2 linked regions of the Mus musculus genome follow. The protein of the gene in region 1 purifies or fractionates together with the protein of each later gene. This does not show direct contact. Links are inferred from orthologs where the notes say so. Each region holds a gene or a part of one and is shown in the gene's direction. Other genes may lie near its edges.

Evidence for each region.
Region 2: the proteins of Nek1 (region 1) and Cfap410 purify together in Homo sapiens (affinity purification with mass spectrometry; 3 studies listed by BioGRID and IntAct, with this or other methods). This does not show direct contact. The link is inferred for Mus musculus from reciprocal best matches to the Homo sapiens genes NEK1 and CFAP410.

The regions. Positions count from the first base shown.
Region 1 is NC_000074.6:60,991,644-60,996,055, forward strand, and holds the start of Nek1 (serine/threonine-protein kinase Nek1), read left to right. Parts: upstream 1-1,549; 5' UTR 1,550-2,120; intron 2,121-4,412. UniProt on the Homo sapiens protein: Phosphorylates serines and threonines, but also appears to possess tyrosine kinase activity. Involved in DNA damage checkpoint control and for proper DNA damage repair.
Region 2 is NC_000076.6:77,977,236-77,981,694, forward strand, and holds the start of Cfap410 (cilia- and flagella-associated protein 410), read left to right. Parts: upstream 1-1,414; 5' UTR 1,415-1,469; coding exon 1,470-1,546; intron 1,547-2,517; coding exon 2,518-2,536; exon of another isoform or gene 2,537-2,816; intron 2,817-3,265; coding exon 3,266-3,312; intron 3,313-4,348; coding exon 4,349-4,459. UniProt on the Homo sapiens protein: Plays a role in cilia formation and/or maintenance. Plays a role in the regulation of cell morphology and cytoskeletal organization. Involved in DNA damage repair.

The DNA.
Region 1 (4,412 bases):
CCTGGTCTACAAAGTGATTTCCAGGACAGCCAGGACTATACAGAGAAACAAACAAACAAAAACCAAACAAACAAGAGCTGACTCTCAACATTTGTTTAATGTACTAGCTTAGGTAACTTGCAGTGTCACCATCTGGCAAAGAAGCCCTTAATCTGTCCATTTCCAAGCTGGAAAGAATTATAAGCTCCTGAACCTAGAAAAGTCGATTTGGGTGTGTGGGATGGGGAAAGGATGGAAAAGAGAAATCAACTGTCTACAGATCTTAGGCAAGGTCTATGCAGCCTCGGTAGTGTTCCATTCACACGAATGGAACAATGTGGACAGCAACTATGGCTGTATACAAAGACACTATCCTCTTCCTGCCTCAAGTATGGACTTCTAGAGTGCCATCCTCTAGCTCACTGAGTAGAGCTACTCGGGATGACACCAGGCTTGTTCTCAACTGTTTCAATTCCTGCATCGAATGATTTTTAGTCTACTGTACATCGTCAGTCCCTTCAGTATAAAGTGTATATACAGTAAACATAAAGGTGTAGGACACTGTAATGTAACTTTGTATTCTAAAAATTAAAGATAAAACTGCTTCGTTTAAGTTCACGAAGTAACTGTGGATATGTGCATAAGTTCAGGTCCCGGTGCTTGCAGAAGATGCTCCTGAAGTTGTTACAGGTGAGTTAACCAGACCAAGGTTTGCGTCCCAGAACCCTGGTCTTCTGTCTTCAGAGATGAGCTGTTTGAGCCATCCCTTAAAATAACTTTTTAAAGGGCATTGTACTTAAAGAAAAATTACTTGTAAATATTTGGCATCCTCAGTTAAGTAATGAGCGCTCAAATTAAAAGTACCTTATCTGTGTACCGTGTGGGAAAAAGTTGTTAATATGCTCTCTTCAGTCTGAGTCAGATTCCTGAGCGAAATTCCCGCCTTCACTCAGCCTAATTCTTTCCGGTTTTACTTTATTCTACCGACACCCGTCTTTCACATGCTCCTTTGAGCTTGGAGTACCTCACGCTCTCCCTTTGGTGCTTGGAGTTTTTAACTCTTGAAGTTGCTCCAGTCTCCACCTCCCCGCCCCCAGTCCCCGGTGCTTGCACCAATGCACTTGCCCAGTCCTTTCTCTAGTCCCAGTACTTCCTAGCTCTTTTGGCCCAAACATATTCCAATGGCCCCGCCCCTTGACGATGCCCCGCCCCATTCCCCCGTCCCCGATTCTGCCCTACCCATCCCCGGCTTGCTACGCTCCGCTCCCAAACCGCCCTTTTTAGCTTTTACCTACCACAGGCCCCCCACTCACTGCACCCTCTCCCTAGCCTCTCTCTCCTCTAGGCCGGCCTCTGGTCCTTCACGCTCCCCGCTAGCTCAGCTGCTGGCTGAGAGCCGGGTCCCACTAGCTTTCCTATTCCGTAACCCCGCCCTTCCCCGGAGCCCCGCCCCATCACTCTTAGTCCAGCCCCGCCCCGCACGTACAGTCCGTTCGCTTCGCCTGGCCCCGCCCCCCGCAGATCCCGGCTCCTCCCCTGCAGCGCCACAAGTCGGCTCCTGCGCGCTGACGTCACACGCCAGCGACAGTGACGCGAGGGCCGTTCCCCTCTCCTCAGCAGTAGCTCTATGGTTTCAGGGCGGCAACGTGCAGCGTCCTTACCTTGAGCCTGTGCAGTTGCCCTCACCCCGGAATCCATAGTCACTGTGACGAGGCGGGAGGACTTGGGCGACAGGTAGCCTCCCAGTCCCACACGCTGCGGGTCCGCGCCTGGCCAAGCCACCTCGACCTGTGAAGTTGGGGGCGGTACCCAGCAACTCCCCCTGTGCAGCCGCCGTTTCCAAGGGGTCAGGAACCGCTGTGTTTGTTTCGTCCGCGTAGCCAGGGCGGGTCGCGGAGTACTGTGCCTGACCCGACGGTGGCAAGTCTGACGCGTCAGCCAGAGACCGGTGCCCGGTGTAGGAGTCGCAGCCTGGGCTGTGAGCGGCTGCTGGGTAGACAGACTTGCTTTCTCTTACAGCATGTCATTTCCAAAATGCATCGTGGTGCTTCTGCCTTAAGTCCTATAGGAAGACACTGCCGCCACTAGACCGGTGCTTATGGTCGCCACTGTTATTCTGACTCAGGTCCCGTGTCATTGAGGTGAGTTGCGCGTGGGAAAGCAGTGACAGGCAGACAAGCAGAATGGTGAACTCACCGGGAGTGAGGAGACCTGTATAGATCTGTGGAGTGCATGGATACTCGCCTTAAGTGTTTGCGCCTAAAGCACCTTCTCCTTAAGTTGTTAATGGGGAGGACTTGTGTATGGCTCAAGGCAATTCTTTGGTATTCTAAAAAGATAACGCTCTCTTAAGAGACGATAAACTAATCTAAGTAGATGATAAGTCACTTAAATAGATTAGATTAGATGCCTGTATATTTTAATGAGAAAAATAGCAGTTAACTGGTTACCCTAAAGCTTTCCATGGTTTGACACAATTTCCACGTGTAAAGTATTAAAAGTTTTGCCACTTTAATAATTCAGTGTAACTTTGGGAAGGGGTCTTGGGGATTGGATGACAGGAACTCATTTTTGCTAGGCAGGTGATCTGCCACTGAGTTATATACCCTGCCCAATGTTTTATTCTTCCCTGTAAGATCTCCCTAGAAGCAGAAATATTTTTACTGCCTACATAAATCACATCGGAAATGTTTGTGAAGGCTTAAAAGCCCTAGTCCATCTGAGCTTTCACGGTGATGGGCTTTGCTTATGCTGCAGTAAGTGGAGGTGATGGGCAGCAGCCAGATGGAAAAAGAAGCAGTTCTTTGTTTCTAGTTTCTAGGATCTAGAGGTCTACATTTAAAATGGCCTCTTGTTCTGGTGAAACCAGAGTAACAGATTTTGTGGGGAAACTGGTTTTTACACTGAAAAAGAAAGTCTGTCAGAAATCTGATGAAGGCTGTGGGACTTAACCACAGTTCTTTTGAGGTCGTGTTACTAATGCATTGGCACTGTATTCCAAGTAGGTTTTACCCTTCTAGAATCGTGGACATGATAGCTTTTCAACAGAGGAAGTTTCTTTTTGCTTGTTGATAGTTTCTACTATAAACTCCTTGGGTATTGTCTAAATATATTTACCAAGAAGAAAACACATACTTAAAAAATATTAGCAATTCTTTATTTTTTTTCTAGAGATTCCTCATAATGAAAAAAATAGAGAATTTTCCTTTCTTGGAAAACACATTGACCGTTTTCTACAATTCAGGTTGTCTCTATTGTTTTGGAAGAACCGTGTGTATAGATTTTGCCTGCAGACAGTACCAGAAGACCTCTTGGCATCTGTTAGAAGTAGGCCTCACCTATTCCTAATGTTTCCCTTTGGAATAACCTATCCATCAAATATCTGAAAGAGCTAATGCTTAATCTCTGTCAGTGTTTTCCTAACTGATGGAGATGCAGTTTAAAATTCCTGTACTCTGAAACTTTTAATATGTGGTTCATGTTATTTATCAAGCACTACTTACTTGAAACAGTTCTTAGAAAATTAGAAAGGTACCTATCTAATTTGACTGGAATTGAGGAATATTTTTCTGGAGCATAGTTGATATACTTAAAAAGAAACAAGATATTGTAGTAGCATGAATTTAAATGTTAAGGTGAAGTGTTTGGAAATGGAAAATTGTTCAAGGATGCCTGGTGAATAGTAGGCAGATGCTTCTGCCTCCAACCTGTAACCCCATCCTGTTCAAAATTTAAATAGGGACATTGAGATGGACCAGCAGATAAAGACACTTGCCACCAAGCCTGATGCCTGAATGACCGTAGTTCAGTCCCCTTGACCTACTTACATGGTGGAAGAACAAGCTCCCACAAGTCTTCTTAGTGTAGAGACACACAAACACACACACACACGGTCTCTCTCCATATAAACTTGGTTATTTTTGTTTTCTTTTAATTTATGTAGGAGAAACTGATTTGCTCTGTATTCTTATATCAGTATACATGGCTGATTAACATTTAATTTTGTTGTTTTGACTAGTTAATTCTAATACAAAAGATTGTAGACTTCTCAACTCTTAATTTTCATTCTTTGGAAGCAATATTATTAGTTTATTTTGTGTCCTTACAGAGGTATTATATATTTGTGGGTTTGTGTACACATAAATATGTATATAAATAAGTGGAGCTATAAATATATACATATGTTTTTCTTTTGCCACCAAATAGAGTGTTTGTTATTTGCCAACCTGATACAAATCCAGATATATCTTAGAATGGGATTCTCAATTGAAAGAATATCTCCATCAGGCTATCTGTCCTTGTGGACATGTCTGTGAGCATTTTCTTGGTAACTGGTTCTAGAGAGAGAGCTCAGTCTAATAAGAATGATGCCATCCTTCGGCAGGTGGCCTTGAGTTGTATAAAAAAGCCAGCTGATGCAGAAGGTATCTCTA
Region 2 (4,459 bases), on another chromosome or scaffold:
TAAACGTGGCTGAACTGAGCCTATAAAATTCTTCCCACCACACTGGTGGCTAAGCTGTATCTCTCAGCTCAGGCCTTATTGTTCCTGATGGTAATGAATGGCCCGCCAGAGGCTAAATCTTCAGCGTCCGCTCTCTTTCCACTGTGGGTTCCAGGGTGCAAACTATGGTTTTTAGGTTTGTGCGTCCAGTACTGTTACCTACTGAACCATTTCACTTGTTTTTGGTAAAGGCAGACCAGGGTGGTCAGACAGACAATAGAGCCCTAGAATACTTCATCAAGGGCAGTTTATTACCTAAAGGGCCTGAAGTACCCAGTGCCTGTCCCGGTGTAATCTGTAGGATAGAAAAAGATATGAAGATTTCAACCTACAATCTTTCGTTTTGTTTTCTTCTGGAGATCTGTTTTCTCCAGAAGAAAACAAAACAAAAATTCATTTGTGATTACTTAAAATGCACACTGACAACCACAGGCACAGTACTGACTTTCAAAAACATAACGTCTATTTTCTATTTGTTTGTTTGTTTGTTTGTTTTTAAGGTTTTTGTTTTGTTCGTTTTGTTTTTCTACATATGAGTGTTATGCTTGCATGTGTGTGCAACCCAAGTGACCTGTCTGGTGCGCAAGGAGGCCAAAAGAGGGGCATTGAGTCCCCTGGAACTAGAGTTACATAAGGTTGTGATCCGGCCATATGAGTGCCCTGGAAAAGCAGCCAGCGCTCTTAACTGTTTCTTCAGTCCCTCCCCAAGCCCCCACTACTCGGCTTTGTCTTTTGAGATAATGTCTGTATGAGCCAGTCTTGCCAGAAACTGGCTCAGGCAATCCTCCTGCCTCAGCCTCTGAGTGCATCAATTACAAGTGTCAGTCATCGTCTGGTTGTGGATTAGCTGTTATGTAACACAAATCCCCGATTTGGGGTCAAGCAGAAATGGGTGAGGGCTCAGTGGTGACCAGGGCCATGGCAGGGATTAGGATCCGGAGCAAGCATGCCAGGAGGGTTTCTGCTGGCATCCACTACGAGGACTCTGTCACCCTTCCCGACTCGACCTTTTCTGTCCTCGATGTCTCCGAGACCAGCCAGGCGTCCCGAGTCCCTCACACACCGGCGCCTTTCTCACCCAAGCCAGCCCATCTCAGACTCTTGCACACTGGAATCCTAAGGGCCGCCCTTCCCGCGCACGCAAACACGGGATGCAGAGACCAGCGGTCCCCAGGCAGCAAAGCCCGGAGCCTCGTGCATGCGCAGGACCGGCGGGCCGCCAAAGGGGCGGGGCGGAATCGCGTATCACGGAAGTCGGGCCGTCCCGCTTCGCCGGCGCGCTTCCGCCCTCTCGCCTGACTGCCAATGGGACCTCAGGCTCCGCCCCTAGAAACGCGGGCCCCGCCCCTGGAGACGCGCCGCTGCGCAGGCCTCTCCCGCTAGCCGAGTGTACAGCGGAGGGCGGCCGGGCCCGCGGCCCTGTGGCCACCATGAAGCTGACACGAAAGATGGTCCTGTCCCGAGCCAAGGCTTCGGAGCTGCACAACGTGCGGAAGCTCAACTGCTGGTGAGGCCGGCCAGGAGCGGGAGGAAGCAGAGGCCGCGCTGAGCGCCTGCTACCCCAGGCTAGCTAGGTTGCAGGCTCACTCTGAGGCCAGTGCTTCAGAGGAGTGCGGCCCTCGCAGGATAACTAGAATTTCCCTCTAGTGTTGCTGAGGGCTTTTCGCTAACCCTCTGTGTCTGTGTCTGGTATCTGAAGACAGAGGTGCTTAGTGGCATGTCTACAGGGAGAGACTGAGGTTGTAAAGTCATGATCCGGTGCTGGAGAGGGTGACCTGGTATGAGTGACAGCCTAGACCTTAGATGCTATTATATGGATGCACTCTAAGTTGCATGGCTGAGTCACACTAATACTGAAAGCCCCGGGCTTCTGGAGGAGTTTGTATCTGGCGTGTGGAAGAGCTACAGGTGTCTCTGGGGACTGGGGTGGGATGCTGTGGCCAGAGCATTTAGCAGTGGCAGAGCAAGTGCAGACCCCTGCTTCTAGTAATGGTCAGTGGGCTACTGGAAAGAGTGAGCTTTGTTAATTAAAAGCCTTTCCCTGCCCTGGCACATCTGGTGTTGGGGCCACAGTCCTCCCTGTCCTGGGTTTTCAATAATGCCTTTCTTTGTCGAGCCAGCGAGCACATCAGGGCTTCCTCTGTGCAAGCAGAAACAACACACATTGCAGGCCCGTGAAGTTTGCTTCAGAAGTTGCATGACCGGCCTTTGAGCTTGGCCTCTTATGAAGATCCCTTTGTTTATGTGTGTGACTGGAAAGAGCTTTCTGCTATGGGAGCCTGAGAGGAGAAAACTGTGTACCCCCATGCACCAAGCAGGGAGTATTGGCAGAAACCAACCTCACCCTTATTTGGGCAACCAGCCTTCCTTACTGTTCCGAATGTAGAATCTTTAGATTTATAGACAATTGCCATTTCTTTGGGGATTTTTAAAATATTTTCATTCAACAAATTAAAGTCTATTTCTTTTCTTCTCCAGGGGCAGCCAGCTCACAGATGTAAGCTCTGCCTTGATTGTATCTTCTTCCGGATGCCCCTTCCCCCAGAAGAATAGCTAAAGTTACAGAACTGTGATCTTCAGCTCAGTGCCGTGTCACTTGCTAGACCTGCACAGAGGAAAACAGAGTCAAAGCTCTGCCTTGAGAGGAGTCCCTGGTGGTGATTTCCCTCAAGGACATCAACAGGGGCACTCTGCATGGCCTTCCTCAGCTTCAGGAGGCGACACCCCAACCCCACCCGAAATGACAGGCAGCTGGGACTGTGGAGCCCACAGCCCAGGTCTGATCCACAGATCTGATGGTGTGTCGTGGCCAAACTTAACTGCAGTTCTGTCTGCCTTGAGCCCAGAACCATTGGCAAGGAGAGTGTCTGTCCTTTCTTTGTGCCTCAGGGGCAGCAAGGAGAAAGGGTTGTGTATCTGTCTCAGGGTGGGAAACCACAAGATCCTTGGCCAGGCGTCCTCAGAGGGTATTGACTGTAATGATGTTCTGTGTTAGACACAGAACTGTTGTAAACTGCCAGGTAGAAACACCCAGTGTAGAACACCCCAAGAGCAGGCTGGGCCACAGAGACCAGCATGCAGCTGATTTCTTCTGAGTGCCCTGGTTGTGCAAGCCCATACCCCTTGGCCCCATTAGTACAGGTGACAGGACCCAGGACACATGTGTCCCCTGACCCGAGGTGACCACACTATTGTTAACTCACTGGCCCCGTTCTTCCCTCCCTAGATTTCCATATGCCGGGAGATGCCCAGCCTAGAGGTAATCACACTCAGGTATGTGACTGACTGTAGTCCTGGGGCATGGAAGCAATGGGGAGGCCGGGGAACTCATGTCTTTCCTCTGGAGTGTGGGAAAACAGGCAATCTGGAGACTCCCAATGCCATCTAAGACAGCAGCATCTGCTAACTGTCTAGGGAATGGGACTTCAAGAACCTGGAGCCCCTACCTGCTTTTTAAGGATCTTACATGGGCCTCCTAAAGGCTTACCTCTGCTTGTCCTCTCACATTCACCCCAGAAAGTAATCTGTGTATTTGTAGCAGGCTCCCTAATAATGAGTAGTAGTTCAGGTAGGCCAGTCCTCCCTGTGGCTACATCTGTCCCTGAAATTCCCAGTACCCTATCTCCCTGCCTTCCTGATTCCATCACTTCCATCCCGACATTCTCTCCTGCCCATCCTGGGGCCCAGGATAAGGCTGACACTTAGGGCCTGTCGTAGGGTTTCTATTCCTGCACAAACATCATGACCAAGAAGCAAGTGGGGAGGAAAGGGTTTATTCAGCTTACACTTTCACATTGCTGTTCATCACTAAAGGATGTCAGGGCTGGAACTCAAGCAGGCCAGGAAGCAGGAGCTGATGCAGAGGCCATGGGGGGGGGGGGGGACTTTGGCGGTGAGTGGATGCTGTTTTCCCTTCCTGTGTCTCCACACTTTCTTATGGGATGGAAATCATCCTAACGCCCTGTTTTGTTTTGGTTTATATATGATACGGAGCCTGTGGGCATTTTTGCTGAGTTTTAACCAGTGCCTGCTGTGGGTCAAAGCGTGTCCTCTGGGGACTCAGTATCATCGAAGAAGCAGAGTGAAGCATCTTGTCTGCCACAATAGTTCCATGTGAATGCAGAGCTCTAGGCCAAGGAGCTGCCCATGTGGATCTCAGGTTGAGGGATCCTGCTGATTAGGTTCTGACCCATTCTAAGGCAGAGACCTTCTCTTGGTACCCATGGGTGAGGCAGACCCACAGGTGGAGGCCGCTGGCCCGAGGAGGTTGAGACCGTATGGATCCCTGACAGTGTGCTGGTCCCTGCAGTGTCAACAGTGTCTCCACCCTGGAACCGGTGCGCAGCTGCAGGCGCCTGAGCGAGCTGTACCTGAGGAGGAACCGCATCCCCAGTCTGAACGAGCTGTTCTACCTGAAAGA